2 linked regions of the Notamacropus eugenii genome follow. The protein of the gene in region 1 interacts with the protein of each later gene in a biochemical or structural test. Links are inferred from orthologs where the notes say so. Each region holds a gene or a part of one and is shown in the gene's direction. Other genes may lie near its edges. The genes, in order: MYO6 and TAX1BP1.

Region 1 (15,966 bases):
CACAGACTTTCTAAGATATACCCATTACATCTATGTATAATAATAATAGCTGACATTTTATATAGCACTGACTATGTAAAAAGCACTGTGTTATAACTTTACAATTATTATCTCATTTGATATTCAAAACAAACTTGGGAGTGGTTGCTACTATTATTCTCATTTTACAGATGAGGAAACTGAGGTATGCAGAGGTTAAGAGACTCATCCAGGGTCACATAGCTAGTATCTAATGCCATTTTTGAACTCAGGTCTTGCCGACTCCATGTCTGGTGCTCTATCCCCTGAACCACCTCATTGCCTATCACTACAATTCTCGAAGAAGCAAAGTCTCTGGTGTTTCCATTAGGGGAAATTATATTTTATATATTTAGTACATAAACCAGACCCCATTGCACTAAATACAAAGTGTCCTAAAAGTCTCTGTGCATTTTAAACTTTAATCGTTAAAATTTTAATAGTTTATTCTAAACAAAAAGTTACGAGTTTAGTCACCATCATTCTGAGCCCCAAGTTGGGAATCTTTACCTCCCTTCAAGGCTCATTTCATTTTGTATATACAGACTCTCCCCAAAATCTTAGTTTAAGTGACAGGTAGGGCATCCACAATTTGTAGGATGGGTGAAAAGAGATCTTGTGTAGGAGGTGGTACCTGACATGAGCCTTGAAAGGAGACAGAGATTCCTACCTGAGGACTCAGAAATTGTGACTGAACTAAAAACTTTTTTGTTCAAACTTCCTAAAACCTAGGAGGAGGGAACTTCATTAAGGGGTTATTGTATTGTCTGCTAGCTTAAACCAAGCTAATTACTCCAACAAGGTGTTATAAATTAGGCATAGTTAGTGGATAGAGAATTAGTGTTGGAGTCAAGAAGACCTGAGTTCAAATTCTGTCTTGCACACTTATTACCTGGGATCCTAGGCAGGTTACTTAACTTTTTTTTTTTTTTAGTCTTGGTTTTTTCATCTGTAAAATGGTAGTAATAGTAGCAACTACCTTTCAGGGTTGTTGTGAGAATTCAATGAAATAATACCTGTGAAATGCTCTGCAAATCTTACAATGCTATATAAATGCTAGTTTTGATCATCATCAGCATCATTATTATCATCATCATCATTATAACAAGAGTTAGAGAAAGAATATTCCCAACACAGGGAAAAGAGAATGAACAGTAAATTGGCCAGAAATTGATGTGACCAAAAGTGACATGAGGGTCTTGTATATGGTGAAGCTCCTCTATCAATGAGAAGAGGGTTGAGGAGGGTCGTTGGAGCGAACAGGAAACAGAAGGCCAGCTTAGCTGAAACATAAGGTTCGTGAGGAGGAGTAACATGAAATTAGTCTGTAAATAGTTTTAAATGCCTAACAGGAATTCATTATATTTGTTATGTCTACATTTTATCTTTGAGGCAATAATAACTACTAAAGCTCCATGAGGACAAGAGTGATATAGTCAGAACCTGTGCTACAGGAATATCAGTTTGACAGCTTTGTGGAGGATGATTTGGAGTGTAGAGAGGTTCAATGCAGGAAGATGAATTAAGAGATTATTTCAATAACCAGGTGAGAGATGAGGAGAGCCTCAGTGGGAACAGAGAAAAGAGAACAGATGAGAGAGATGTTGTGTTGCTAACTTGTGTTTCTGGAATGATAGTGGTAATTTTAGCAGGAAAAAAGTATGTGGGAGAAGGATGGGTTTAGGGAGAAATCATTAATTCCATTTTTGACTTGTTGAGTTCAAAATACACAGGACATTAAGGTAAAGATATCCATTTGGTGATATGGGGCTGGAACTCTGGAGAGAGATTGGGGCTGGATATATAAATCTGGGAGTCACCTGCATAGAGGTGATGATCAAGGTTGATGGAATCATCAAGACAGATTGTAGAGTGAAAGGAAGGTTTAGATTAGAATTATGTGGTTCACCCAGGCATTGAGGAGAGGGAGAAGCGAGGACAAGGATGACAATCTAGCAAACAAAACAGAGAAGAGTATCATGAAAAGCCAGGGAGAAAAGTATACAGGAGGAGGGAGTGGTCAACCACATCAAATGCTACAAGTAAATTAAGAAAAAAAGGGCTGAAAAAAAGTCATTTGGATTAACATTTAAAACATTTAAAAGATGTTAGTAACCTTGGAAAGAGTTATCTAGACTTTATGGGGTTCCTTGGAGTTGGTTTGTAAAAAGGGTAGATTCTCTTTCTCTGGCTCTCTCTAGCTCTCTCTGGTTATCATTATCATCATCATCGTCATCTGAAGTGAGGGTGGAATCAAGCAAAATTAATTAATTATTATTATTATTATTTTTAGAATAAGGGAGATCTGAGCATGTTTAGAGGCAACAGGGAGGAAGTGGTGGAGGAGGAATTGAAGATCAGAAAGCTAGGGAATGATTACAATGGGCAAATTCCAGGAAGAGATGGGAGGGGATGGGGTAAAGGACACAAGTAGAAGGTTGGAGTTAGCCAGAAGGGCTACTTCCTCAGAGACTACTGGAACAAAAGAAGCTGAAATAGGGACTGAGTCTGAAGGGATATGAGGTGAGAAAAGGCTTCATTTTCTCAGTGAGCTGTGACAAGGTCTTTTGTTCTTCAGACAGGTAGTTTGAAGAGAGAAGAGGTTTAGACATCTGTGTGAGAAGTTCATTAGACAATTAGGAAAAAGTAAAAGAATTGACTCGGGAGCAATGGGGATCCAGTTGAGATTAGATAACACAGATTTGTAGTAGATACAGGTCAGTATAATTGTGTAACTTCCTCCAGGGGTCATTCGGCAGTAAATTGGCATATCATGATTTATGCAATCTGTCCCTATGAAGGAAACCACAGTAGAATCCCAAGTAACTAGAAGATTCAGGAAAATGGTGAGTTTTCTGGTTAACTAGGACTTCAGTAGAAATTTTATTTTGATTTCATTTTTGTTGCTGAAAATCTTACTAATCCAATAAATTTGACACAGTAAGTACAGAAGTGAATATATTTGTTAATGATTGAGGAATTTGCAAATGACTAAGTTCTAGTAATCATAATGCAGCATTGTAGATGTAGAAAGTACCTCTAAGTTCTACCTTAGAAGCTGTTTTTTTTTTTAATGAAATTCTTACTGTCAGAGTGTTTTCTTGTGCTTTACTCTTTTTCTAAAAACTCTCTAGGATTAATTAATTACAGTATAGTAGATTATCCATGGGATTAATAAAATAATTTCTTATTTTAGAGGACTTGTCCCCCTATGAATCAGTCCCAACCCATGGACATCTATCTATCTGTTCCTTCTCATCTTCAGCAGATTGCTTTTCATTATCCATGCTGTCATCTTCAATCTCTTCAGGTCTACTCACTGCTTCTTTTCTGCCTACAAACTTGCACATCTGTCCTCAAACTTCAAAAAAATCTTGATCCCTCTACCCGGACTAGCTATTGTCCCATATAACTCCATCTATTTATGGCTAAACACCTTAAGAAGGTAGTCCATGATGGGTGCCTCCACTTCCTTTCCTCTCTCTCTCTTCTTAACTCTGAAAGTTGGTTTCTGACCTAATCACTCAACTAAAATTTCTCTCTCTCCAAATTTCTCTCTCTGATCAATGATTTCTTAATTGCCAAATTTACTGGCCTTTTTTCCATCTTCTTCATTATTGACTCTTCTGCAGACTTTTACATTATGGATTACACTCTTCTCCTTAGTATTCTCATTTCTCGAGATTTTTGTGACGCTGCTTTCTTCTGATTCTCCTATCTATCTGACTGCTCCTTTGCTAATTGGTTACTCCCACTATATGTGGGTGCCCCACAGGGCTCTGTCCTGGACCTTCTTCTCTTCTCCCTCTATATTATTTCACTTAGTGTTTTCATCAGGTCTCATGCATTCTCTTTGCTGATGATTCTCAGATCTACTTTATCCAGCTCTAACTCTCTGCTGGCTTCAGTCTCACATCTCTAACCGGACATCTTGAACTGTGTTTCATAGACATCTTAAACTTAACACGTACAAATCAGAACTCATTATTGTTTTCTCCAAGTTGTCCCTTCTCCCAAACTTCCCTATTATTGTCAATGTTATTATTGATAGTAATGTTACAATCCTTATAGTCAATCAGGCTTGCAAACTAGTTATCATTTTCAATTCTTGACTTTCATGGCATCCCTCCTCTGCACCTCCCCCTACCTATATCTTATTCGTTGCTATGTCCTGTTGATTTAATCTTCTTAACATGTCTAATATATGATTCCTTCTCTCCTCTACACCTCATGTTCCAACTCACGATTGTCTTTCCACTTTGGCCCATTATTGACTGATTGATGGAGCCTCTACTCATCTGTCAAAGTGATCTTAAAGTTCTGTTCCTACCCTGTCACCCCCCACTCAGTTAAATCCAGCAGTTCCCTATCATATAAAATCTTCCTTTTGGCATTCCAAGCCTTTTCCATCCTGCCCCCCTCTTTCCACTCTCTTTACGCTTTAACCCCATGGACTCACTGTGCTCAAGAATGCTGCTCCTTACTGTACACACTCCATCCTATATTGACTCTGATTTTTCGCTGGCTGTCTCCCATGCCTAGAATCCTGTCCCTTCTTATTTCTACCTCTTAACTTTCCTGACTTTCTTTAAGTACCTGCTAAAATCCTATCTTCTACAAGAAGCCTTTCCCAATCCCCTTTAATACCTGTTATCTTATCTCCAATTTATCCTATAAATAGCCCATTTGTACCTATTTGTTTGTCTATTGTCTCCTCATTAATGTGAATTTTTTGAAAATTGGTTCATCTTTTGCTTTTCTTTGTATTCCTACTTAGTATACTTAGTATAGTGTTGGGCACGCATTAGGTACATTATAAATGGTTATTGTCTGTTATCATCTTGTGTGATTCTTGTCCAAGTCACTCCATAAATGTTTCTCCAGTTTATTTGAGACTTTGTGGATACAAATGCTATACTAGTGCTGTGTAAGACTATCACAGTCAAACTAAAGATCTTTGAAGTTTACAGCTAGAGAAAACTCAAGATTCTTTGGATGATATATTACATGTTACTTGTGGAAAGGACTAGAATATCCCAAAGGAAGAGGAAAATTTGCTTCTTTCAGTTTGTAAAATAAGGGAAGTATTTCTGTTTTTTGGAAGAAAAAAACAGAAAAAGAACAAAATTTAGGAGTATTTTTTGGAAGAACAGATAGCTAGGAAATCATGCTTAACTAGAGAAGGAACTGAGACTGAAATATGTAACACATTCCTTTTTTACTTTTGCTGTCAATCATAGTCATATGATATACTACCCTATACTTCTTAAGATGTATTAGTTTCTAATGGTTTCCAGGCACCTTTTAAGTTGAATGATATATATACAATTCTAAACTCAAAAAAGGGAAGACACAAGATGCCATAGCAATACTTTAATATTTGTTTTTTTCTCACTACTCCTTCTGCTTGGTACCTTTATTTAACATTTACTTCCTGTCTAGCTAGCTTGAGATTTCTGTGGTTCCAGCAAATTGTTTCCTTTCTTGGTTTCTCTTCCTCTTTCCTCCTTCTCCCAGTACATTCTTCGTAATTCATTGTGGCGGTTGCTCCCTAAAGTCTATACGTTATCAAGGATTTTCTGAACTTTTAAAGTGGCTACTTTGATATACTGGGAAACAAATCTACTTTTCAAATGAAATTTATTCCTTTTTTTTTCATAAAAATGTTCAGCATCTTGGATGAATTTAATTTTCTCCAAACTGAAAATTTATTACTTCAGAAGAACCATAATAATAAGAGCTACGTTTATATAGTACAAGTTAAAAGTTCTTTCCTATAAATTATGTGCTCCCCACAACAAGCCTGTGAAGCAACGCTGGTATCAGAATCTCCATTTTACAGGTAAAACAACTGAGGCTGAGCAGATGAATGGCTTGACCAAGACCATACAGTTAATGAAGATCTCATTTCATGTTCCTTGTTCTTTCCATTGTGCTACTACCTCTGACAAAAGACTCATCAAGCAATGCCTGTCTGAATAGCCCTTTCTACCTATTCAGATTTTAAAATTATTTTCAAACAAATCAACTATGGAAAATGAAGACAAACTAAAAGTAGGATAACGCTTTTTAAAGTTCAAGCTGCCTTTTTTTTTAGGGGAGGGGCGTGAGCACAAATAGAAATGAAACATTCTTACCCTCTGCCTCCTATAGAGACAAATAAATTTGGAAGTAGGCTTCGTATAAAAATCCAACAAAAGTAGGATTTCAAATACAGATACATTGTATCTAAGTGTGCGAGCGTGTGTGTGTTTCTAGATGTTCTAGATAAATTAGACAGTGGAGCAGCTAATACACTTCAGGAGCAGCCTCCTCTTCTCCTCTCTCAGACTTCGTATTCAATGGACTCTCCACGCTAGAAGAAAGACAAACAAAAAACCCAAACTGGTCAGTTACAGAACTTAATTACTGTGACGGGATACTTTAAGCCTCCCTCCCCTTTCCCACAACATTTTTGGTTTCTTTCCCAGAAACACTGGCTTCTTTCTTTAAGTACGTAGAGTTTTAGAGTTGGTGGACACTTACTTTCTTGATGCTGGAAACTCAATCAAGTGTGGAGGAAGGTTTTCCACCGCAGGAAACGCAGACTGGATCTGTCAGTTTCTCTCCCCCGCCCCCCCCACCCTCTCCCTCTACCCTTCCTCCCTCCCCGTGCCGCCCCCCCCCCCTCACGCCCCCCCCCCCCCCCCCCCCCCCCGGGAGAAGTATTGTCTGAAGACTTGGGTTCCGTTTCGGGCTTTGACACTTGCTCCTATGAAAGCAGACAGGTCACTGGTGAGACTCTGGGCAAGTCATTTAATCTCCCAGGGCCCCAGTTTCTTCGTCCGTAAAATGAGGGCGACGGGATTGAATAACCGCTGAAGTCCCTTCCGGCTCCTAATGTGCGATCCTATGACACTCCCTTTTGGCCCCCGCCGAGGACCGTGAAAGAGGGGCGACCCCCCCCCCCCCCCCCCCGCCCCGGCCTGGTAGCCCTTCCCCCTCCCGCGCACAGCCGTTCGGGGCCGATCTGTCGGACCGAGCGCTGGAGTGGGCAGGACAGAGGTGGAGAGATGCGGGCGCGGAGCCGCGGGACGGGAGACTGAAGGGGGAGCCAGGGTGTGTGGCGGCGCGGGCGCGCGCGGTGGCGCGGGCTGGGAGGGGGCGGGCGCGCGCCTCCCTTGCCCCCCCCTCCCTGGGAGCGGCGCGCGCCCCTCATCCCGCCCCTAGCCCGCGGCGCCGGCGCCCCCGCCTCCGCCTTCTCGGGCTCCCCGAGTGGGTGACGTGAGGCGCAGCCGAGTTCCTCCCTCGGACTCTGCTCGGCGCGGCGGGCGGAGGGAGGGAAGGGAAGGCGGAGACGGGGCTCAGCTGCGCTGGGAGCAGGAAGTGGAGCAGGACCGGGAGCCGCTGCCGCCGCCGTCACCGCCAGGAGCCCGGCGCCAGCGCCCTGTCCTCCTTCCCGCTGGGCAGCCGCTCGGTCCCTGCAGCCCTTTTCTCTTCCCTCTTTTCCCTCTCCCGGCCGCCTCGGCCCGGGGCCACCCCGCCCGCAGCCGCCGCCGCGGCTCACCTGCCTCCCCTTCCAGGTGAGTGAGGGAGGAGGGAGTGTCCACACCCCGGGGGGCGGCTGCGTGCCCCGGCGGCCCGAGAGGCTCGGGGGCCTCCCTGCCTGCCCCTGCCCGGGAGTCCGGCCAGCGGCACATCTGCATCTGCAGGGGGCTGTGGGGGAGTGAGGGTCTTACTGGGGAGAGGCGAGGGGTCCCGGCCGGCCCCTTTCTCCCCCGTTCCCCGACCTCCGGAGGAGAGAGGGGCCGGGCTGGGCCGGGGCGCAGGGCAGCCGTGCCGGCTCGCTCGGAGCTGCGGGTTCGGCCGGCCTCTGGACCGGCCAGGTGGCGAAGGAGACGGAGCCTGGGAGGCTCCTGGCCGCTCCTGCGGGAACCACCTGCCGTGTCTGCCCCTGACGCTCTCTGTAAGAGGCTGGCACCGTTGGGGAGGAAAAAAATGAAAACTTTTCTCTAGGAGCTGGTTAGTAAGCACTTAATGAATTCCTTCTGGATTATCATTAAGAAAACGACCTTGCTCTAATGCAGCAGGAATCAAGCCAAGGCAACAGGCGTTTACTTCTTATTAAGCGCCTACTGCATGCCAGGTGCTGTGCTTAAGTGCGGGGGACTAGAAAAGGGCAAAAACAGCCCCTGCTCTCAAGGAGCTCCCACTTATGTGCAAACGAGATAGGGACCGGATAAACTGGAGATAGAATCTCCGAGGGAACACACTGACAGTAATCTTTTATTTGTGGTACAAAGATAGCTTTAATTTTTTTTTTTTTTAGAATAAACATCTTTTTGAAAAATGGGTGCCTTTTGTTTTTACATCCCATTCATTTCTGAGTATATTATTCCCCTGCCAGCCACCTATCCATTCATTCCTTCTTGGAAATTAAAAAAAAAATGCAGTTGAGCAAAACTAGCTCACATTTACCTAGGCTGTGCAGGCCTATTCCTTTTTCCACACCCATAGTTTCCCATCTATATAATGAATGGCCAGAGCTTCATTTTCTTAACTCTTCCAAGATCTCCCTCTATGATTAAATGACTTAAAAAAAATGGAAACATCTAAGTAAATCTGTTATATAAATGAAAGAATCAGTGCATTAATAATAATATAATTGTGTAAGTGCTTAGGTTAAGCATTTAAAAAACCAAAACATTTTTTCACATTGTTCTAAAAATAATAGAAATTAATTTTAAAGAAACTTTATACTCCTACAAGGGAAAAAAATGCCTTCTGTTGCTGTGATTTTGATTTCAGGGAAGTTGTAGTTTTATAACTGTCCTTTTTCCTGATGTTAGCCAACTGCTCATGAGAATATACTGAATTTTACATCCATTAGTGTTCTCATAATACATGTTATGGAGGCAGTATTTAAATACTAACCCATAAGTATTAGTGAGGAATATTACTGAAACTTTGATAAGTTTTTGAAGGTGTTACAATTTTGTGATACAGATATATATCTAGTCAGAGTTTATTGGGGATTTTTTTTTCTTCTGGAGGAAACAAGATTTTAGCATAACTTGTTGAATAAAAATGATCTCAAGGTTTAACAGAAATTACACTTGCCATAAAATGTGGATCTTGAACTTGGGTTGGTAGTGGTCAGGGTACAAAGGTTAACAGCAAAGCAGAGGGCTTTTTTGCACAAATTAACTGAATTTAAAGAGATGTCTTCCTTGTGCTACAGCTACAGCTTGATGATTAGGACTTGTTCAGCAAAATTGTCATCTTTCATTTGTCAAGCTATATAAATACCATGTGGTGGGCCACTCTCAGAGGAAGAAACAATAAAAGCTGTTAATCCTTGTTTTTTGTAAATTTACTTTTTCAAGTACTAAACTTATTTTAGATGTTACACAGAAGTTTATAGGTAGAATGATAAACAAGGGTCCCTTTAACCTTTTGTAAATTTGAATACTGAATTTTATATAAAATCTTTTTGTTCTTTGAACCTTTTCTTCAAGTACAGTTTCAGAAACTGTTAAAAATAAGTAATCTTTTTTTGGTGGGTGAAAGGGAGGGAGTATTGATAGAGATATCAGAAAAAAGAAGGAAAACAGTATCAATGAAACATTTAAAAAATACATTGAAAAGAGCAGAGGCAAGTTCAGAAAGACAAGAGCAAGATAGTTTCAGAACTATACTGTTAAATTTATTATATTCTTAAAGCTATTATACAGTGGATCTTTGTGGTTTTCTATCATAATGTTTTCCTATTATTTGTATTCATGTATGGAAATAATTACGTTCATTGATATTTGTCAAGTTCATTATAATAAAAAAGAAAATATAAAAACAATAACAAAAAATATTTCTTCTGCAATAACCCCCCCCAAACCATATTATTTTTATTTCAGTTATTTCATTGGGTTATTTCGGTATCTTATCAAAAGTTGACCTAAAGTATAAAAAACAGTTTCAGTGATAAAGTTTGTAAAGAACATTAGTCAGGAAGTGAGAGAGCCACTGAAATTTCATCCTGTTGTGAATGTGCTTAATGTGTATTGAATATTATGTCATCCATTGTTTAGACAATTTTGCTTTATTGGGGAGCTGGATTGCCATTTCCTTCAACTTTTAAAAAAAGATTTTGACTGATTTGAATAAGTACAAGTATCTGAAACGCTTAAAATTGTTATCTAGTTGGTTAACTACTTTTTATATTTAAGAGAATCTTGAATTATGGAGCATGCCTGTCTCAAATGGAAAATTTGAAACTTGGTGACTTGGAAATTGCTTATTTGCATTTCATATCCATAAATGACTTGATTAAAATTTCTTTAAAAAATGACTAGCATTTGGTAAATTGTGGTTTAATTGAATTATGATACTTGAAACAATGTGGTTATACCTTGAATCAACCCATCAGCAGAGGGAATTGTTTAAATTTCCTGAGGAAGTGGTATTGTATTAGGGTAATTGGAGATTTGATATGGGTACATAGTAATAGATAGGAGCTTCTGATGAACTCAATTCCTTTGTGTTTTTTTCTTTCATAACAAGTGAATACTAAACAGTATCAAGTGTAATCTGTTGCCACATTTTCACAAATTATTATTGTTTAACTAAAATGGAGTGTATTGATTATAGAACATAGAATTAGATATGTTGTTTGCTGTAACCTGATCCCTGGTTTACGCAGATGAGTAAAGCTATCAGTTTTCACTGTAGCTAAAATGAATAGTAACTTGCTTTTAGTTAGCACATACTGTTTTATTTTCCTTAAGAGAAAATATTTTGCCCATAAGAGTGAAGTATCCTTCTTAGTCCTATTCAGCCAACTTTTCTCTTTCAAAGAGAGTTTATTTTCAAACAGTTTTTATACTGCTACTTGCACTGATTAATTGTTGTTGAACAACAGCACTGCTTTATTAAGCTCTCTCCATCCCCCTTTTCCTCTGCTTATCTTAGATAAGCAGGAACTGAAAGGGAAAATTCTTTAGTCGAAAATAATGTCTTTTCCTGTCTTTAGGAAGATACAAGCTAGCTAGTGTGCAGAAAGGACCATGCAGTTGCTTTGGGGACCAGCATCTTTTGCATCTGAGTTATTGAATGAAAATAAGAGGTAGGTAGAATCAGGCAAAAGAGTAGAGAGGAGGCAAACTGGTTTGCCTTTTTTTTTTTTTTAAAATAGGGGAGTTTTGTTGTTTTGTTTAAAGTATTGTGAATTCTTAAACCATATATAAATATAAATGCACATTTTTATTTCTGTTATGTAGTACAAATGTACTAGTACAAATAAGAAATGCGTTCTCAAGCTTAATTATTTTTGTATTATCAGCACTACAACTCCTTATCTTTGCACTAGATAATTGAACTGGAGTTGAAATGAACTTCTGAATTCTGCTGTTGGAGTATTCAAACAGATTTAAATAAAAAATCCATTTAAAATAATTTTCAGCAGTAACTACACAATTTTCTAGGTGCCAAACTTAAGTAAACAACAATTTTTAATAACAGTTACATAAGTTGTGGCTTAGGGAAATGTAGCAAGTCAAAAGTATACACATAATAATACCAAACCACAAGAAACATAACTAGAAGAACCCATCTGACCCATCTGCCTTCTTCAGAAATGTTGTAGTACCAGAGAGGAAGTTATTTGTTATGTGGAAAGAATATGTCTCAAGTGAAACCAAAACGCTGTAGTGCATTCCTTCTTTGTATACTCATATGATGCCACTAATTAATGTACAAAGGAAGGCGTTAGTAAAACGTTGCGTTAGCAAACCATAGAAATCTTTTGTATATGCTGTATGTGCTCTCTTGATGGGTAGTGTTACAAGTTTGTAAAGTAAGGTGTTGCATGTGACAGGAATTTTTATTGGGCTAGGAGTTTAAAGTAGGTCATAAGTATTGTAGATGTACACTTGGTATAATGTATTGAAAGTGGCCTCATAGCCAGGAAGACAAGAGTTCAAGTGCTGATGGACACATACTGGCTGCCTGCGCCCCAGCCACAACACTTAACCTCTCAGGGTTCCGGGTAACAACAACAATATCATCTTCATCTGTTTAAAAGATTTTATTGGCATTCTGAGCTTTTATAACACCCTAATTTCTGAATATTTTCTTCTTTCTCCCCTAACTGGTGAATGGTCACATGTGCTTTTCAGACACAGGTAGTTCCCATAATCAACTCAATTTCTGCCTCTTTCAAAAGGAGATGGGAGTTCCTAGCCTGTTTCTATCACATGACTTTGTCACATTTCTGAATGTCCAGGCAACTTCTTAACACAGAACTTCTTACCCTGGGGTTCAGGGATTTCCATGGGATCTGTAGCTAAATTTCAAGGGGTCCATGAATTTGGATTGGAAAAAAATGCATTTTAATTTTCACTACCTTTGGTTTCTTTTTTATCCTGAGTATTTTCTTTGAAGCATTTTAAAACATTATTCTCAGAAGTGATCTATAGACTTCATCAGACTGCCCAGGAGATCCATGATACAAAAAAAAGATTAAGAATCTTTGTTCAAAGATTATAAGGTGCAGAGAAGAAGGTACTGACCTGTCTTGGTAGTACAAATTTGTCATTTGGGAAATTTGGGAGTTTCCTATACCCACGGTCAAGTTTCTCTCTATCTATGGTCATTCAGCAAGTATTAATGACACATGTAGAGGATTCAAAGAAGAGAAAGGTGATCTCTGTCCTCAAGCAGGGTATAATCTAGTTGGGTGAGTATAAAGGCCAGGGTAAGGTAACTATGGTACAAAGAGTATGACAAGAGCCATGATAGAGGTAGCAATAAAGGAGAATGAATTGCTTATTCTTTTTACTCCTTCATTTATGTACCTGAGAGGATCAGGAAAAGTTTTGTGAAGGAGGTGGGTTTTGAGGTGGAATTTGCAGATTGGGCAACATTTTTGACATGTGGGTAGGTGAAAGAATTCCAGGTACGAGGAGGAACATGGGCAAGGATGGTAGGTTTGAGGAATAGTGAGTAGGCTAGTTTGACTGGAGCACAGAGTATGTGCAAGGGAATAGTGAGAAGTAAGGACAGAAATTAGACTGGGCATCTATCCTGGGGTCTTTGACTACCAAGTTTAAGAGTAGAACAGTTGTACTTTGAGAGCATGTCTTAGATCAAATGTGAGGGTTTCAAAGACATGTAAACCTTTGAGGAATTTGTAATATAGTTGAGAGAGAAAAGGCATAACTGTAAACAGATAAGTGTTAGATAGAATTTAAATTCTGAAGTTGCTTATGTTTTCGGATAGTGGTGTGGGCACTTCTCTCACTGAAGGTTGTCCGGACTTACTAGTGTTAACCTCCTAACATTGCCTTATGGTAAACTATGTGTTTGTTTTCTTTTGGTTATATTGAATTAGGAATATTTGAATATCAGGACATTAACATTCTTCTGGCAGTTGTATCTAGCAGCTAGAAGTTTATATAATTTAAAAATTTTTATTTTTATTGGAGAGCAATAGTTGAGGTACTAGATAATTTATCATTAGCATATGAGCTTTCTTGGTGAAATTGATGACTTCTTTTATTTTTTTGGGTGGAAATTGATGACTATTTTTGGGAGTGCATCACTTTAAAATTTAATTTTAAAAAAGTCATTTTATGACTGTGATATGTGGCATTAAAAAGTGACATTTTTTGAAAAATATTTATTTGTTGATTATAATTATATTTTTGTCTTTATATTTAGATGTCAGTAATGAATAAGGTGAAGGTGTGTCTACATATTTCCAATCCTAAATAACATTTTATTGTTGTTTTGAAGTTCTTTAATTATATACCTCAAGTAATAATTATTATTAAGTAGGGCTGAACTACCAGTCAGTGAATTAGACTGTGTCACAAGTACTTAGTGATTTGAAGGTGAGCTTGGACTCTGAAAAGCTTGCCTGATCCATATATTTCCACTGTTGGCTTTCAATATGCCTGAAATACCGGCTATTAGAATCACCTTTGTTACAATATAGATGTATTACCTTGTAGAGGTAGCAGCTAGAATCATTCATTATCACATTGTCAGAATAGGGCTCTGTGAAAATGGGACACAGGACAGATAGATTTTGATACAGACTAGGGATAAAGGAAAGGAACATGGAGTTCTTCTGGGTAGGTCAGGAGGCTTAGGGGGTTCAAAGAGCATTAGAAGGACATTAAAAACAAATGGTACAATTTTGCTAAGGCCTTAGATTCTAAGAGTATTCTTGGAATCTCATAAATTCAGTGTAGACCTCAGCTTTTAGAGTCTGCTTTACAAGTGAGTCCCTTTTCCTTCTTTTAAATAATTGCCATATTTAATAGGACATCTTAATCCAAAGAGTATTAAGATAGAGAAAATATTAAATTTGGAAGAAATCTTGTTAAGTCATTTATTCCATTTTTTAGGTAGGTTAAACCAGTACAAAGTGATAGATCATCACCAGAGTGTTTCTGAATGAACATTAAATCTCTTCTTTGATTTATATATTTGGATTTTCTTTAAGTTCTTTAGTTCAAAACTAAAATTGTTAGTAATGGGCATATCAACCTAATTACCTCTACAACAGTTATGTCAGTGAAAATAGTCTATTTATATTCTAGGAGCTCTTTGGTAATTCTGTGTTTTTAAATACTTGGTTTTATATTTGTGGTTTTTTTTTTTTTTAACAGTGTTAATCAGCTAGGAATATTTATTGTTAACTCTATTGTCAAAACAGTATTGTTGATGAATACTGTGAGCCATTAGTAGGATTTCTCTGGTGTAGGTTAGTACATGATCTTGGTCAGCTTTCATATTCTCATTTATCAACATTACTGGAATTACTACAGATGGCCTGTAACTTCTGGTTTTCTTGTGGCTTTGTGTACAACCATCATCTTATGGTTTTAATTAGATAACTGTTTTTAAGAGCTTTTGATAATCCCTATGGATTTTTTTTTTTAGCATTGTATCTGGCACATAGAAAGTACTTAATAAATAATAATAAAAAAACCCGTCATTTATATTTCATTTTATGATTTGTGAAGTTCATTACAATTATTATCTTTTACTTATAACAACCCTATGAAGGACATACTGTTATGATTTCCATTTTACAGACAAGGAAACTGAGTCAGACTGAGGTTAAGTGACTTGTGTAGAACTACACAGCTGTTAAATTTCTGAGGTCAGATTGGAACTCAGGTTGTCTGCACTTCGGATCCAGAGCTTTATCCATTACACCACCTAGGTGCCTCAAATGCTTGTCTGTTCTTTAGAACCAACAATAATAATACCAGTTGATAGAAACTGGACTATAAACATAATCTTGCTTTACTTAAGTAATGACAGGAAATGGATTGGAGAATATTCTTTTAAACTTTGAAAGTATTATATAAATTAAACTTTTTAGTAACCACTATTGATGCCAAGCTTTTTAATAGCGGTAAAAATGCCTTTTATTTATAATGTTTTGATATTATCCATATTTTTAGGAAAAGGCAATGAGGTAGTTGGATTAGTGGAAAAAGCACTAGAGGACCAGGGTTCCAATTCCATCCCTGCCACTAATTATTTGTGTGAGGTTGGGCAAGTCACTTCATTCTCATCCCTCAGTGTCATCTGTCAATAAGAGAGTTGTATTAAATAATCTCTAAGGTCTAGGAACACTGAATTTACAGTGAGGAGAGATTTGAATTCTAATCCTGGTTCTTATTAGCTTTGTTACTCCAGGCAAAAAAACTCACCTTTCTGAGACTATTTTATCTATTTCCCCATCTAAAAAATGGCAATGGCAGTATGTTTACCATTTGTATCACAGGATTGTTGTAAAGGAAATGTTTTGTAAACTTTAAAGTGTATAAATTTGTCATTGTCATTTTTGTTGTATAGGGAGATGGGTAGAGTCAGAGGATTATGGGATAGGGAAATTTTGATTGACTTCACATAGCCATTTGTGACCCTTGTTGCCACATTAACATAATCAAAGGG
Region 2 (15,883 bases), on another chromosome or scaffold:
CTAGCTCTAGAGATTCTAGGAGGGTGAGAGAACTGCCCTCACCTACAGTAACCGCCTTTCTTCCAGAAAAGCCATCTTCCTTAGCATTTCCATACTAGGTGGTAGTAGGGCTTAGAGTCAGGAAGAGTCATTTCTATGAGTTCAAATCTGGCCTCAGACACTTAGTAGCTGTGTGACCTTGGGCAAGTCACTTCATTCTATTTGCCTCAGTTTCCTCATCTATCAAATGAGCTGGAGAAGGAAATGGCAAACCACTCTGGTATCTCTGCTCCCCAAAAAAACCCAACCCCAAATGGGATCATGAAGAGTCAGACACAACTGAAAGTACTGAACCAACACCCTTCTGGGACCTAAAAGCTCCTCTTAAATACCTATTATATGCCAGAAAGGCACAAAGGTAGGCTATGGAAGTTATAGAGACAATTAAAAATCTCTGCCCTTAAGGAATTTACATGCTCCAGCCTCACTTTGTACCATCTAAATAGTTTACACTATGATTTCGGGATTGTAAAAACATTAACAAAAGAAGGGATAAAGAAAGGAGCTCCGGTTTCAGGGAGGTTAGGGAGTATAAAAGGCAGACAGGAGGTTTACAAATCCATTTCACTCCTGGTGTTAGCTTAGGCAAAGATGCGAGGTGGGAGATGGACTGCTAAGTTTGGGGAAATAGCTCATACACTGGCGTGTGAAGGTAAGTACTATGAAATAACCTGGCAAGGTAGGCTAGGACCAGGTAATAAGGGGTTTTATGTGTCAGCCTGAAGAATCTGTGTTTTAGCCTAGAGGCAAAAGGAAATCACTGCAAAGCATTTCTGTCTGTTCTCTCCTACTAGGAAATCAGGAGCAGAACAGAGGGTCTGTACACAACATTTGTGGATCTGACCAATGCCTTTGACACTGTTAGTCATGAGGATTTATGAAAAATTATGTCAAAATTTGGTTGTCTTCATCAATATTGTACATCAATTTCATGATGGCATGTTTGCCCGGGTTCTGGATAATGGACAAAGCTCTCGTGCCTTCCCAGTCACCAATGGAGTGAAACAGGGCTGTGTGCTTGCTCTCATGCTTTTTAGCATGATGTTTTCAGCCATGTTGACAAATGCTTTCAATGAGAATGAACACGGCATCAAAGTCAACCACTGTACTGATGGTATGTTCTTCAGTTTGAAAAGGCTACAAGCCAAGACCAAAGTGGAGGGAGTGTTGGGGCATGATTTTCTGTTTGCAGATGACTGTGCACTCAACGCAACCTCTGAAGCTGAGATGCAACAAAGTATGGATCAATTCTCTGCTGCCTGTGCTCATTTTGTCCTAATAATAACACCAAAAAAACACAGATGCCCCATCAGCCACCACCACACCATCCACATGTAGAACCATCAGTTATAACAAATGGAGAAGTTTTGGATGCTATGGATAAATTCACTTACCTTGGTAGTGTACTTTCCAGGGATGTACACATTGACAGTGAGATTGATGCACACATTGCCAGAGCTAGCTCAGTGTTTGGGAGGCTCTGAAGAAATGTTTGGGAGAGAAGAAGTATTAGACTGACTACCAAACTGAAGATCTACAGAGCCATTGTACTGACCTCATTGTTATATGCTTGTGAAACATGGACAATCTACCAGCACCATGCCAGGAAACTGAATCGCTTCCACTTGAACTGTCTTAGGAAGATTCTGAGGTAAGGCACCAGACACTGAAGTCCTTGCTCGAGCTGAACTGCCAAGTATTCAAACTATGCTTCAGAGAGTGCAACTCTGATGGGCTGGCCACATTGTTTGAATGCAAAATGTATGCTTGCCAAAAAGACTATTTTATGGAGAACTTGCATGGGACAGGCAATCACATGGTGGCCAAAAGAAACAATACAAGGACACTTAAGATCTCTCTCAAGAACTTTGGATTTGACTGTGCAACATGGGAGACATCGACACAGGACTACTCAGCATGGCGTGCCCACATCCAAAAGGTGCTGTGCTCTATGAGCAAAGCAGAATTGGGACAGCACAAAGTAAACACAGGATGCTCAAATTTGGGATAATCACCCCAAATATTCACAGGGCCTATCTGTGCCCAACCTGTGGTAGAGCGTTCCAAGCTTGTATTGGTCTGATCAGCCACAGTCTGACACACTGAAATTTCACTTTACAATGGTGATGTCATTTTGGTCCCCTTCGAAGACGAAGGACAACAACCAACTAAGAAACCTCTTCTTATCACAAAGGTAAAAAATAAACAGAAAAAATAGTTTGATAAAACCAACCAAGAAGTTTTCATCTAAAAGAATGAGTCCCATGGACCATGTCACAGAGACCAAGATGAATTAGTGGATGCCTCCTACAACTGTCCAACATCAACTAGATCCACTTTTTTCCTTGCTTTGGCTGATTTGCTGAGTAGAAAGCAAAAGTTGTGAAAGTTCTATAGCAGGGAAAGCATTTTCCTTTGGCAGGCGTGTGGAGAACAGATTGGAGAGGGAGGTAATTGGAAAATTTGGAGTCTAATTAGGGGCTTTGGCCAAAGTCTAAACAAGAGGCCATGAGGACCTGACTAGAGAGAGGGATGGCTCAGGGAGTAGAGAAAAAGGGATAGAGATATGTTGTGGGTGTGGAATGGACTAGGCTTGGCAACTGACTGGATGTGATGAAGTGTGAGTAGAGGGATGCCAAGTTGGTAAACTTGGGATGGAGAGATGGTAATGCCTTCAACAGAAAGAGAATGTCTGGAAGGGAAGGCATGGGAATGGGGGAGGAAGGTAAGCTCTGTGCACACATTGTACACACTGATTTCAAGACATCCACTTGGAGATGTGGAGGTGTGGGAATGGAATTCAGGATAGAGAATGGGACCGAGTCCGTCTATCTATTCTGTTCATCTCTACCATGGTCAATGTTTTGGTGTCATTCAGATTCTTGAGGTTTTGTTAAAAGATATGTTGGTGTGTGGGAGGGAGTAGGAGGAGTCTTTTGGAAGAGCTATACATTCAAACAGCAAATCCTCAATCCAAATCATTCCTTGGTCTCTCCTGTTGGGAGTGTAGTGTTTGTGGCTGTTGGCATTTACTTTTCCCTCCATACTGGGTGTCAAGAGATGAACTGAGTCCCCTAAGTGAGAAATGAAACACTCCCTCAGAATGAGGGTATTTATAGGACCCTTGAGAGAAGGACCCCAGTGAAAGCCTACATTTTATTTGTATTGAAACATTCCTTTGCCCCTTGACAATACAGGGATCCTACTGTGAAATAACAGTCATTCCAATGTGTGCTTTCTTATGCCCATTGTACTCTGTGAGGCTGCCAAGTCTCACACCTTAGGCCCACTCTTTCTGCCATAGACAAAAAATTCTCCTATATCCAAGCAGAATGAACATGTCTGCTCTCACCCACACCCATGTGAACAAAGTTACCAATTTCGTCAATCTCATGGAGACAATTTTAGGAGTATGGGCAGCTCCGGCAACCTTTAAATGGGTTTCTTCATCAGCTCCAATTAAGTGCCAGAACAGAAAATCCAAAGTGTGCAGAAAGAGAGAGAAAGCCGTAGCAACGTGGGAAGTCTACTCTGTTCCAAGCACAGGTCTGCATTACTTTTCTCAAAACGGGGGCTGCTCCACAGGTCTGGACTCTACTTCCTCCTCACCTCTGCCTTCAAGGTTCACGCCTAGGGCCATTTTCTCCAGGAAGTCTTCCCTGAAGCCCCCAGCTGCTAGTGCCATCCCTTCTCTAAACTCACGCCCATAAAAATACCTCAAACAACTACCTTGTGTCTCTTGGAATCTACCTAAATATAGGTACAAACTGTGTCCTCCCTAGACTGCTCCCTGAGGGCAGTGATGGTTGTACTTCTATCTCTGGAGTCCGGAAATTTAACGGAGCTGCTCATTATACATTGGAGGGTGCTCTTTCACACTCTAGAATGAAACCTGGTTACTTTTTCCATGAGAATTCTTAGAGAACAAAAATGAAGATGGTGATTCTGAAGTGAAATAAAGATCTGGCATTAAGCCAGTTAACTTCATCAGCATAAATAGCAAACCCACATGTGCTAAATCAGGCTAGGGTCGGTTTTATTTTTGACCACTATTGTTTTACTAAATTAACCACCAATTTTTGCTTTACTTAGAATAGACACAGCCTTAGTAATTGATCCTGGCCTGCAACTTAATTTGCTTACAAAAATTTTAAGAAACTTTTAATAAACCAATTAAACTAGAGCCATTAGTATATATTTGGAAATTGTATAAATAGATGGGTGCTATATTTAGAACACCATGAAAAGTTGGTTAATCACATTCCATTTCTATTGGAATTTAATTCAAACCTTAAATTTAGAAGAAGGAAAAAAAAGCAACTTTGCTGTATAACAAAGAGAATAGCCTACATTTATATTTGTAGCCTATATGGCTACAAGGATACACACACACACACACACACACACACACACACACACACACACACACACACTCTCTCTCTCTCTCTCTCTCTCTCTCTCTCTTTTCTTCCTATCTGAGTTATTCCTTAACAATAGCTAGGTAAGGTTAATAGTCTTAAGTGAGATTTATGCCCATTTTCTGGATGAGACAACTGAGGGTGATTGGTTAGGTGACTTGACCCAGTAAGGAGCATGAGTATGACTGGTTTTGATTCAAACTTTCCCTGACTCAGACTCTTGGACCTTTTCTCCTACACATTATCAGGTGTAACAGAACCATGTTCCTCTGCATTTTAGGAATTTGCTCAGTGTGCTGGGAATCTTGATGACATGGTTTATCTGATCTTTGTCCAGTCATTTCATTCTAGGTTCTTAGCTAATGGGTTGAGACTATAGCCCCAATTATAACACTTAAGTATTCTGGAAATAAATAACTGATATTATACAGTGCTTTAAGATTGACATGTGCCCTGTGTAATTTTACCACAAGTAACACATTTCATTTGATCCTCACAATAATCTCTTGAGGTGGAAGATATATATACAAATATATCTATATCTATGTAAAATTATTTATTATTATTATTTATATAAATATATAAAATATATATATCTTGAGGTAGAAAGATTTTTATATCTTCTTTACACATGAAAAAACTGAGGCTTAGAGACTTGTCCACATTCCTACCACTACAAAACAGTCAAATTGAGATTTGAACTCAGTTCTTTCCTGACTAACACTACCAGGCCCTCTATTATTCCATACCATCATCTCTAAAGTTACTGAAAAGCTTCTTTAATACTCTGATGGATGTGAGTACAACAAGGGTGAGTCCCAGGGCCAGTGGGGATGGCAGCTTATGCCTTCTTCCCTTTTTGTGTATTTTCTGAACTTGTACCCTGTAAGTCTTCACACAATCTACATGCCAGAGTCCTTGTTCTGGGTCTTTGGATCTTTCCTGGATTCTAGTGCAACCCAGGGCCTTGCATCTATTACCTCTTCATTCCTTTCCCCATACATGTCCTTTACTGAACATGTTTGTGAGGATGCTTTTACCCTATTTCCTGTATCCTGGCATAGGTTACAGGCTCCTGACACTACCAAGCACCTCTCCACTGACTCTTGGACCATCTACCATTTTGATTCTTTGAAGGTACCCCTTGGTTTGTTGCCATATGGTATTCCTAGAAGAATACTGGGGTTAAAAGATGGCACTAAGGGACTTTGTGATCCCAGAAAATTCTACACCACTTCCCAAATGCAAGCACTCAGCTTCCTATTTAGATCTGATCTCAAATCATCATGACTCATTTGCAACACTTGTCCAAAGTAAATATACTGCTGGACTAACTTGGTGGACTGAACATCACTAGCACGCCACAAGACAAATTTTCTGTTGCTCCTCTCCACGCCACATGTCTTCCCATTTTGTCTCGCCCCATGTTTGCCATCAGCATTTTCTTAGTTATGCCATCTTTGACTTAAGGTCTTGGCTTCTAATGTCCGATCTCCGCATCCAGTCAGTGTGACAAGGTTGAGGGGTGATGGGGACCCCAAAATATTGACAGTCTGGGTCGTGCTAGAATGAATTCGACTCAAGTCTTCTTAAAGCCAAAGAAAACAAAGTTTATTAAAGATTTGCCATCTTGGGTTGCCTCTTAAGGAGCCTAAGCACTTGTAACGCTTGCATTCACAAGCGGGCCGGACAGAATCCCAGCTAGACAGAGTCTGAGCTGGATTGCATCTGAGTGCCTTCATGGAGGTGAGATGGAACTAAACACAGAAAAGAGTATAGGAGGGATCTGGGGGGGGGGGGGGTGTCCAGGGTGATGGGAGGAGGGGTTTAGGAAGGGCCTTGAGGAGAAGTTCAAGGAGGGAATCCAAGGAGGGTCAAAGGCTGGAAACAGCTGGAGGCTATCAGGAGATATCAGACTAGGGGGCGCCTAGGTGGGAAGCAGGTGGGACAATCAAGAGGTAACAGACAATGGCCGCAGATTTGAGTACGAAAAGCCAGGTTAAGTGAGGAGATACTAGGAGAGCTCAATCTGAGTATGAAAAGCCAGGTTAAGTGAGGAGATTCCAGGGGAGTTCAAGGAAGTTCTCAGAGTCTGAACCCCATCAATTGCCCTCACTGTGGTTCAGGCCTCTATTTCCACAGCCTCCAGTTTCATTATGCCAGCCACACGGAATGCAAAGACAAAATATTTTCTCTGCCTCCAATTTCCCTTTCTTATTCAATCTTTCTTCATGCTACTTTCCTGTTCAAAAAACCTCATTGGCTCTATATCCCGCCTTGGTCTGATACTCAAGGCTTTCTGTAAGCTAGGCATAACTTTCTTTTTTCTAAATTTATCTTTCGCTCCTCCCACAATTGTATCCCCCCTTCCTCTCAGAAGATCAGAACTGACTGGACTCTGAATAGGTTTGAATGCCCTTCCTACCCAAGTAGTTCAAGGTCCCCTTCTCAATCTCATTTTACCCCAAATGTTCACAAAGACTATTTGTGCCTGACCTGCGGCAGAACATTCTGAGCTCATGTTGGTCTGATCAGCTACAGTTGGACACATTGTAACTTGACTCTAGCATAGTGATGTCATTTTGATCCTCTTTGGACAACAAGTATCTTTCCATAAGTCCCTAGTACAAACTGTTGCTTGGTTTTCAAGGTCTTGAATAACATGGTTCGCCCCTATTTCTAACCTTATTTTATATTAATCCCTAACTTGTATTTAGGTTATTATTCTCAATGTCTCCAGAAAATGCCAAGTTCATTCCCATTTTGAAAAGTATAAGGAAGGCTTTCCTTCCTATTGTATCTCTGGCTTAGAATCATTCCTTCTGCCTTGCTCTCTAGCCATTGAAATCCCACGTGATCTTCAAGATCTGTTTTGGTGTCTGATCTCCCATGAAGTCATGACAATAATCTCTCCTCTCTTCTCTCACAGCAGAGTTGTGTGCTACAAAACCTTAAGCTTAGTGGTATGCTGCCTGTTTGGTAATGATTGTTTTATGTGTGTTAGGCAGAGACCGTATCTGGTATTTCTGCATCCTTTGCAGCTCCTGACTCCTGAGCAGAGGAGAGATGGGTTATTTCCATCTGCTCACACAGTGGAGTTCAACCTTCCAGGATCACTTAATCAAGCACTTACTATTCCTCTTCTACTAAGCCTCCCTCCCCCATTCTGTTCTGTAGTGGCGACTCCTTTCTCCAGACTCCCAAGATATCTACTATACTAAAAGGCAGTATGGTAATGGTGGCATTTCGGTGGACTTGGCCTCAGCAGCCTAAATCTTGTTTCTGATACTTGTAGCTGTGTGGTCATGGGCAGGTAACTTCCAGGTTTCCCATCTGCAAAATAGGAATATTCAATAATATCAGGGCCATCATGAAAAGCAAATGAAATGAAAAATACAAAGCTTTGATAACTTTTTCTTGGTAGTTAACATTTTATGCACAGATGTCATGTCCACATTATTACTGGACTTGAGCTCACAGATTGCCGGATGTGGTATTTCTTTTTAAATTCTTTCTAGTATCTTGCATCACACTGAACACTCAGTATATCTTGCTGACTGATACTACCATAAACCTTCTAGGTGCTTGGTCAAGGCGGGCATCATTAAAATGGAATGTATTAGCATATGTGGGGTTGGCTGAACCCCTGGATTTCTTTTAGATAAGAATGGAAGCTAATTGCCCTAATTGTTGACTGTGCTAAAAAATGCAAAGCAAGAAAAACTCCAGGAAAAACCCTGGGGCTGATGTCACTAGATCTAAAGTTTCTTCACTTTCTAAAAGGTCAAGATCTTCAGATGGAGATTAAACCATCCCCAGCAAAGTGCTTACTAATGTCAGTTTCTATTTCTAGTTACAGTTATCACTATACTAGTTACAGTAACCACTATACGTGTAGTATCTCTATGGATGTAAGTACTAAGCTGCCTTTATCCTCATATACGTATTTGTGTACGTGTATGTCATTTGCACACGTGTCTGTAGACACACAGAAACCACTGGAGGGAGAGGCAGGAAGGCTTACTGGACCAGTAAGCAAGGGGTGCCCACGACAGTGGCTTTCTGTACAAATGAAGTTTGACTGATGTCCTGTAGACGAGGGTTGGATCCGAGCCGTGGGGGCCCGAAGCTTTTGGAGGCACCCAAGACAACGGCACGGATGGCAGACGGCCGCCCGGCCATGCGGGTCAGGCAGGATTCGAACCCAGGTCCTCGGGCTCCCATTATTTATTTAGTGGTTACTACGCGACTCCACCGTCCGCCAGCTCCGTGCTGGGCATCAGAGAGGACAGAGACCTCGGCAAAGTTCCTCCCCGGTTGGGGCTGACCCTCCGCTGGGGAAGGGGATGTCGCAGGCGGGAGGGGAGGAGACAGTCCTTCCCCTTCATCCGCGAGCCCCAGAAGCCCTGGGTTCAGATCGTGCCTCGAAGCTGTAGCAGTGTGGGCCTCAATTCCCTGATCTGTGAAATGGGGGCGATAACAGCCCCCCCAACTCCCCCTCCCGGGCCTGTTATGAGACGTGCTCTGCAAACCTGACTGCGCTGTGACGCAAGCCAGGCAGCCCTGCCTGCCCTCGGGGAGGCAGGATTCGAACCCAGACACGGAGACTCGGGTACTGACATGTCCCTCTCCGTCCCGGGCTCCGAATGGGAAGGCGCAGGGGGCGGGACTCCAGCCCCTGGCCGAGGGGAGTGGCGGGTTCAAGCCCGGGGTCGTCGCGCCTGCGCAGACCTGGCGCCCCGCCCCCGGCGCGCCCCTTCCTGCCCCGGAACGAGGCTGCACGCACGCGGCGGAAGCGAGCCTCCCGGAAGGACGGAAGTGACGCTCACGGCCGCGATTGGCTCGCCCCTCCCTCCGTCCCTCCTTTCCCCGCTCCTCCTCCTCGGTCCGTAGGTCCGGCCGTTCGTCCGCCTGTTTGTGGCGGAAGGCGCCCGGTGGCTGATGGCCATTCTGAGCGGGAGGCCCTGGTGACGCTGCCCAGCCTTCGCAGAGGCCTCTCCGGGCCAGCCTGGGGTAAGAAGCCGGGGCTGGCGGGCGGAGGCCGGGCGGGATTGTGACGTGCCCGCAGGGACTCGGGCCCAGGGGGCAGGGGGGCGGGCGCTCTCTGCCTCAGTTTCCCCTTCGTGAAGTGAGAGCTTCCCAGAAGAGGAGACGCCGGGACTAGAATCTCGGTAGCCTCCACGCGTATACTCTAAGCGCCCAATGAGTGCTGGTCGGTTGGCCCACTCGGGCCCGGAGGCAGAACCAGGGGCGGCACCGTAAAGAAGGAGGAGCTGGGCCCTGGAGCTGAGGGGGGGCGGGCGGGGAGCGGCCCAGGTCCTCGGGGTGTCGGGAGGGGGAGGGGAGCGCGGGGCGCTCGGGAGCCCGTGTTTGTGTATGGGGCGGGGAGGGGCGGGGCCTGCGGGCGGGGAGGGATCCCGCGTACTTCCGGGATGGGCCAGTGCCGTTCTGCCTCCCCCAGGCAGTGCGCGGGCTGGGGGGTTCAGTGCCCTTTGACCTCACCGGACAGCGGAGGTGTTGGGCAGAGCCTGACCCCGCGCGTCCGACTTGGGGCCGGAGACCAAGTGGAGTCGGAACTTGGGCTTTTGAGAAACGTCCGGGAAGTTAAGGGGGGCTGCGAGAGCCTGGGGCGGGGGGCGGCCCTCGGAGCGGCGATCTTAAGGGCTTGATGCCAGCCAGGCGCGGGGGGGAGGTTACGGAAGGCCCCGTAAAAGTGCGCTTTCCCCTTCCTGCAGCCGAATTACTGGACCAAGCGCGCCCCGGGTCCCTCTCAGCTGACGCAGACGGTAGCCTCCGGGCTGACCCTGGGCTGGGCAGCCCTCTGGGAGGGTGACGTGTTCGAAGTATCTCTAAAACAGTGAAGGAGGGTGCTGCTCTGAAGGGCTCTTCAGGTGTTTAGGTGGCCTCTGTCTGAAGGGTTTTATGCGGGAGGGAGCGGACTAATTCAGGTGTCTGTAGGTGGAATATGCAATGAAAATGCAGTGGGAGGCTGTCCGTAGTTTTAAAAATGGATAGAGGTCCACTGGCCCTGGAGTCCGGAGGACCTGAGTTCAAGTCGGGTCTCAGATATTTGACCCTGTGTGACCCCCTGGGCAAGTCACTTACCTCCATTACCTCCAAAAAAATGGATAGAGATGTAGCCTATTTCTCTACTTTCTCTGAAAGTGGTAACATTTAGTGTGCCGGCTCATTTATTGGCTGGATTCTCAGAGGCAGGAAGATCTGGGTTCAACTCCTGCCTCAGACGAGGACTGGCCCTTCTCTGACACCAGAAGTCGAAGAAGACGCTGACCTGCTTTAGGAGAGGGAGTCGAAGTTCTTTATTTCAATAATAAAATCACAATCCATCCTCCTTGGTGTCATCCTTATTTAGAGCTGATAAATTACATAAGGTGATTGGAAAGAAGCTTATGACCGCTGACATCATTTACGGATCTTTTCCTAAGGATTGCCCCTGCTGCATTCAGTTCGTTAAAGTGGAATGGGTAGTGCCGTGGAGCTTGTAACCGTCAGCCGGCCTCAGACATTGCTGGCTGTGCTCGTCTGACCAAGGCTCTAACCAGGCTCTCAGCTGCACTTTTTTCCTTTGTAAAATAATAGCACTGACCGTAACAGGTTCTTGTGAAGGTCGAATGAGATCATATGTGTGGTATATAGAAAGATTGGTTATTGTTAACATTCTGGAAGGAAATGTGATAACCAACAATCCTTTGTCTGAATGGGACCGTAAAATCTGCCTAGAGAAGTGTAGGGAATCATACTTACCGAGCTCCCACTGTGTTCACATAGGGAGCTGTATATAGGACTCTATACAGAAATGTACAATGCAATTATTGCCTTTAGAATTTAGAATAAATTAGAATTAAGATTAAGAATTTAGTTCAAAGACTTCCTGATGTAGAGTTCCTAGGTGACCTGTAAGGATCCCAAGAAATTGGGTTTGGCAGGCTGAGGACTTAACTGGAGATTTTGGATAGGCAACATGAAATGTTTAAATGGACTATTGTGTGATTGTGATTGTGTGTAACTCCTGGTTTTGACTCCTCAGTTTTCACTCATTTTAAATTGGTCTCCCATTCCTGGACCCTTGGTAGCAGAAAGTGAGATTGAAGCCTGAAGTCGCCGTTGTGGCTCCTATTTGCCCTTCCTTCTGTGGAGGGTGGTGAATGGGAAGGGCTTCTCTCTCTGCCAGTGCGGCAGGGCTGTGTTTCCTCTGGGAATGGTGCTGTTTCCAAACAAAGTGAAGGCGGTGGGAGACTCCATCAGGTTCTGGGGGAAGAAAAGGAGAAAGCGAGGGCATTTGAGGCAGTTGCAGACTCCTGGAAGCCATTTACACATGTAGAGGACAGGAGGGACCAGGTGAAAGCAAGGTTAGCAGAATTTGGAGGGAACTGATAGGGATTCTTTATTCCATTCCATGAGCCAGAGTCATCTAGCTGTTAATTTGTGATGGTTTGAAGATGGGAAATTTGTTAAAATAGAAGGAAAGGGAAGAAAATCATGACCTATCCCTGCTTTAATCAGCTCCAGTTTCATCCTATGATATGTATTGCAAGTTACTTGTATTGCCATTTAGAGAATAATTCTATTAGTTCTGTGAATATTTGACAATATTCCAACGGGAAACCCCCCTCCAGTGTAGTCATGGAAACATTTTTGTTTTGAATTTTATTTTTTATAATGTTGACATGTGAGAATTCAGACAAGCACAATGACCATGACACAGCACTCCTCGGTGTTGGGAATGAATCCATGTTTTAAAATTATTTTTCATTTTCTCTTTGTATCACCAGTGCTTTGGACAGTGCTTAATAAATGCCTCTTTGACTAAAAGTTAGAAGAAAAGTGCTGTTTCACTTATGTTATCTCTGGGAAGCAGCAGCCCATAAAGTCAAAGGCATAGTGTAAGTTGGAGGAAAAAGAACTTTCTCAGTTTTATGCTTAGGTCTTCAAGATTTGACATGTATTAGATTTGACTGACTGGAGTTTGGGAAGGAGGATGTTGTGTCCTTCCCTCCCTCCCCAAAAGGATTAAATCTGTGGGCTTGTCCTCAGCACTGTGCCAACCCCCAATTGCACACAGTGAGGCCTTTTGATTTTAAAGTTATTTCTGCCTGTTTCATGAAGAAGTACTTTCCATCTTCCCAGAGCCTTAAGACCACTGGGTGGACTGTGCAGGATGAAGTAGAAAGTTAGTCTTAAGTGGGAATTGAAATATTCTCTGGCTGCTATTCCCTTTGAGTAAACATTGCCCTTGGGCAGCGTTGCTGGAGTAACCAGTTTGAGAATATATCTGGTTAGGTAGGTTTCCTAATCAATCCAAATGTTTGAGATCCTCTGTTTAAATAATTCAGCTGAACTTAATTCTTTCTCTGAAATGTTCAGTTACACACAGAAGATTGTGGAATAATGTACTTTGGTGGCAAATTTTGAAATTGTACAGGCTTTAATCTCTATAAAAAAGGAGTTAATTTTTTATAATAGAAATTGGTAACCATTTTAAGATTTTGGTTTTAATGACTTTTAAGCCATTCAATACCTGTATTTGTTATTTGAAAGGTCAGGAAACATCACATTAGAAAGGTTTTGACTTAAGTATCTTTCTAAATAAAGTATCTGACAGCAATTAGTAAATTACAGGGTAGAGTTTCAGTGCAGTCCTGGGTCCACAAACGTTCGTTGACTTGGGAAACAAGGACGATTACTACGGTGCCAGAAATAGATTATTTCTTTAATGATTAAAAAAAAGTGCCTGAGAATTATCATGAAGAATATTAGGTATGTAATGTTAGAGCTGTTGAAGGTGGAAGACTTAGCATGATAAAAATAGTAAATTGCTTTTTTTGGGCAAATCTGTATTAGCCAAATTGTTATTTGTCACTCATAGATGTAGAATGCAAAATGTGAAAAACTTTGAGTTGTTTGCAGAGTTCACTTACCATTCATGAGTTAACCAAAACTCAACTTAAATGACACCTACTCCTTGAGTCTGAGCATTCTGTGAATTTTTAATAGTCACATTTATTGATTTTTGTGCCCTTGACATTTCCTGAATGACATTTCTTTTGTATTCAATTTCCATTAATTTGAGATCTGAGCAATCCAGACAAGGTTAAGGTAAGCATACATTTTGCCAGACAACACTGATTAAATAGTCTTTCTAATGATTTAAATTGGATTTGTCATGAAAGACAAACCTAACTTCTTTTTTCATTTCCATATTTTTGTTATAAATGAGGAAAAAACTTTAATCGTGCTGTCCTGACTGGTCTTGGTGTTGGAGAGCGGGCAGATCACGAGAGGACAAGACTCAGTGATGAGACTAGAGGAGTCTTACTGATAGAGTTATCTCAAGGCAGCCAAGAATGACAGCCTTGAAGTCTCTTAAGTACTTTTTCTTGGTAGAAAGGAATGGTCCCAATCAGGATGGGATTGAAGCAGAAAGGAGTGGGCTGGCTCAAGGGAACAGTGAGTCCAGTGCAATTAGGCAGGAATCCAAGGGGATGAGGACCTTAACCAAGAGGCCAATGCAGGCAGTACATTGTGATAGACACTTGGTATAGAAAAAGCACAGAACCATTTCTGCCTTCAGGAAACTTACATCAGCTGGAGGGATATCAGTGGATAGAATGCTGGGCCTGGAGGCAGGAAAACCAGAGTTCAGATAGAGCCTCAGACATTTTATTAACTGTGTGACCCTGATAAATCACTTCATCTCTCTCTGCCTATCTGTGGGGATAATACCACCTCCCAGGGCTGTTGGGGATCAGATGAAATAAGATTTGTAAATTGGCACTAGCCTGGCCAGTAGTAAGCTCAGTATAAATGGTAGCTATTATTATTAAACAGATACATCCACACATGATAATTTGAGGAAGGAGAAAACAACTAATGAATTTGTTTCCCGTAGGAGGTGGCCCTATGGATTCTAAGAGGTATAGATGAGGAGGGGTGTGTTCCCTGCTTAAAAAGTCAGAGATGGACTTCCATAAAGCATGTGTGGTTTAAATGTGGAATCCATGGAAGGGATAATAGGAAATAATACTGGAAAAGTAGACTGTAACCTATGATATTTTCCTGTAGAAACAATAGTCATTGTAGATTCTTGATCATAGGAGGGAGTAATCCATTGCACCCTTGTGCTTTAGGAAGGTTATCTTGGCACCTGTGTAGAGGAAATCTTGGAAAGGGAAGAATTTGGAGGCCCTGAGCTTGGTTATGCTGTAGAAACGATGAGATGTGTGAGGGCTTGATGGGTGGAGAAAAGGGGCTAGAACTGATAGATAGTTCAGAAAGGCTTTGTTTGACCAGCCCTTGGGGAGTGAGAGTCAGTTAGGAAAGGACTCAAGGATTGCTATGGAGCATGGAGACCCCATTGAGCTGATAACATAATCATTATTTGGAGGCATGGCAGCACCTCCATGGGCTGGAAGAGAGGCAGGAAGAGCTGAGTTTCAGGCCTGTCTCTCTCTGGTTGCGGAGAGAGGGGACAAGCGGCTTCATCTCTCTCACTGGCCTCAGGCAGCTGTCTCTCACTATACTTTACCAAGAAGGTGGCAGTTTGCTCTCTGTAACAAGGAAACCACAGCAGAAGTCCAAAGACCAAAATAAAAATCGTTACTCACGTGAGGTAGCAGAAGTCCTGGAACAAATGGAGGAACGCTAGTGGCAATGATTAGTTGTGCCCAGTGATGCTAAGGTGGAGGCTGTCTGCCCTCCACTCCACCTTCTTAGGCTGCCTGAGGACCATACCCATGGTTTGTGGACCAGAAGCCAGAGAGTAGCAGAGGCTCTGGGCTTGGGTACTTTTAGATTGTAGCAGACGCAGGAAGCCAAGACTTTGGGGAGTTCTTCCACACTGGAATTTATGTTTATTCTGTTTGTTTGAACTTTGTCTCCAGTTCTTCCTTTGATTAACTTCCTGAGTCATACTGGTAACAACTCTTTCCCAATTAATGTATTCCTAGTCTGCTTTTTTACAGTTGTTAGATATCTTGATACAGAACCCAGAGTAGAGATTGCATGCATGCGGGCAGCCAGGAGGCTGAAAGGCCTCCAGATCCACTGGGAAGTGGTGTTATTTAGCCTAAAGAGGAAATTTGAGAGCCACATGATTGTTGCATATGTTAAAAGGGCTACCCTGAATGGGGAAGGAGAGATTCCTCACTTGATCCTGTCCTCTACAAAGCTGCCAAAGTGATTTTCCTTAAGTTTAAATCTGACCACCGCTTTGCCCCATTCTAACTCCAAGCCTGGTTGGCTTTTACAGCACTTGGTCCCAACCTATCTTTCTAGCCTCATTATTTATTATTTGTTATTTGACTTCTTACTCTCAATGGGCTAGCCAAGTTGGCTTTCTCTCATTTCTCACCCATGATATTCCATCTCTTTGCATTTCCTCTGACCACCCCACAGTCTGAAACGTA

Evidence for each region.
Region 2: the proteins of MYO6 (region 1) and TAX1BP1 form a complex in vitro, tested with the Homo sapiens proteins (5 studies listed by BioGRID, with this or other methods). The link is inferred for Notamacropus eugenii from reciprocal best matches to the Homo sapiens genes MYO6 and TAX1BP1.

Annotation. Positions count from the first base shown.
Region 1 is NC_092873.1:145,787,710-145,803,675, forward strand, and holds the start of MYO6 (unconventional myosin-VI), read left to right. Parts: upstream 1-7,183; 5' UTR 7,184-7,580; intron 7,581-15,966. UniProt on the Homo sapiens protein: Myosins are actin-based motor molecules with ATPase activity. Unconventional myosins serve in intracellular movements. Myosin 6 is a reverse-direction motor protein that moves towards the minus-end of actin filaments.
Region 2 is NC_092874.1:18,735,676-18,751,558, forward strand, and holds the start of TAX1BP1 (tax1-binding protein 1), read left to right. Parts: upstream 1-9,190; 5' UTR 9,191-9,470; intron 9,471-15,883.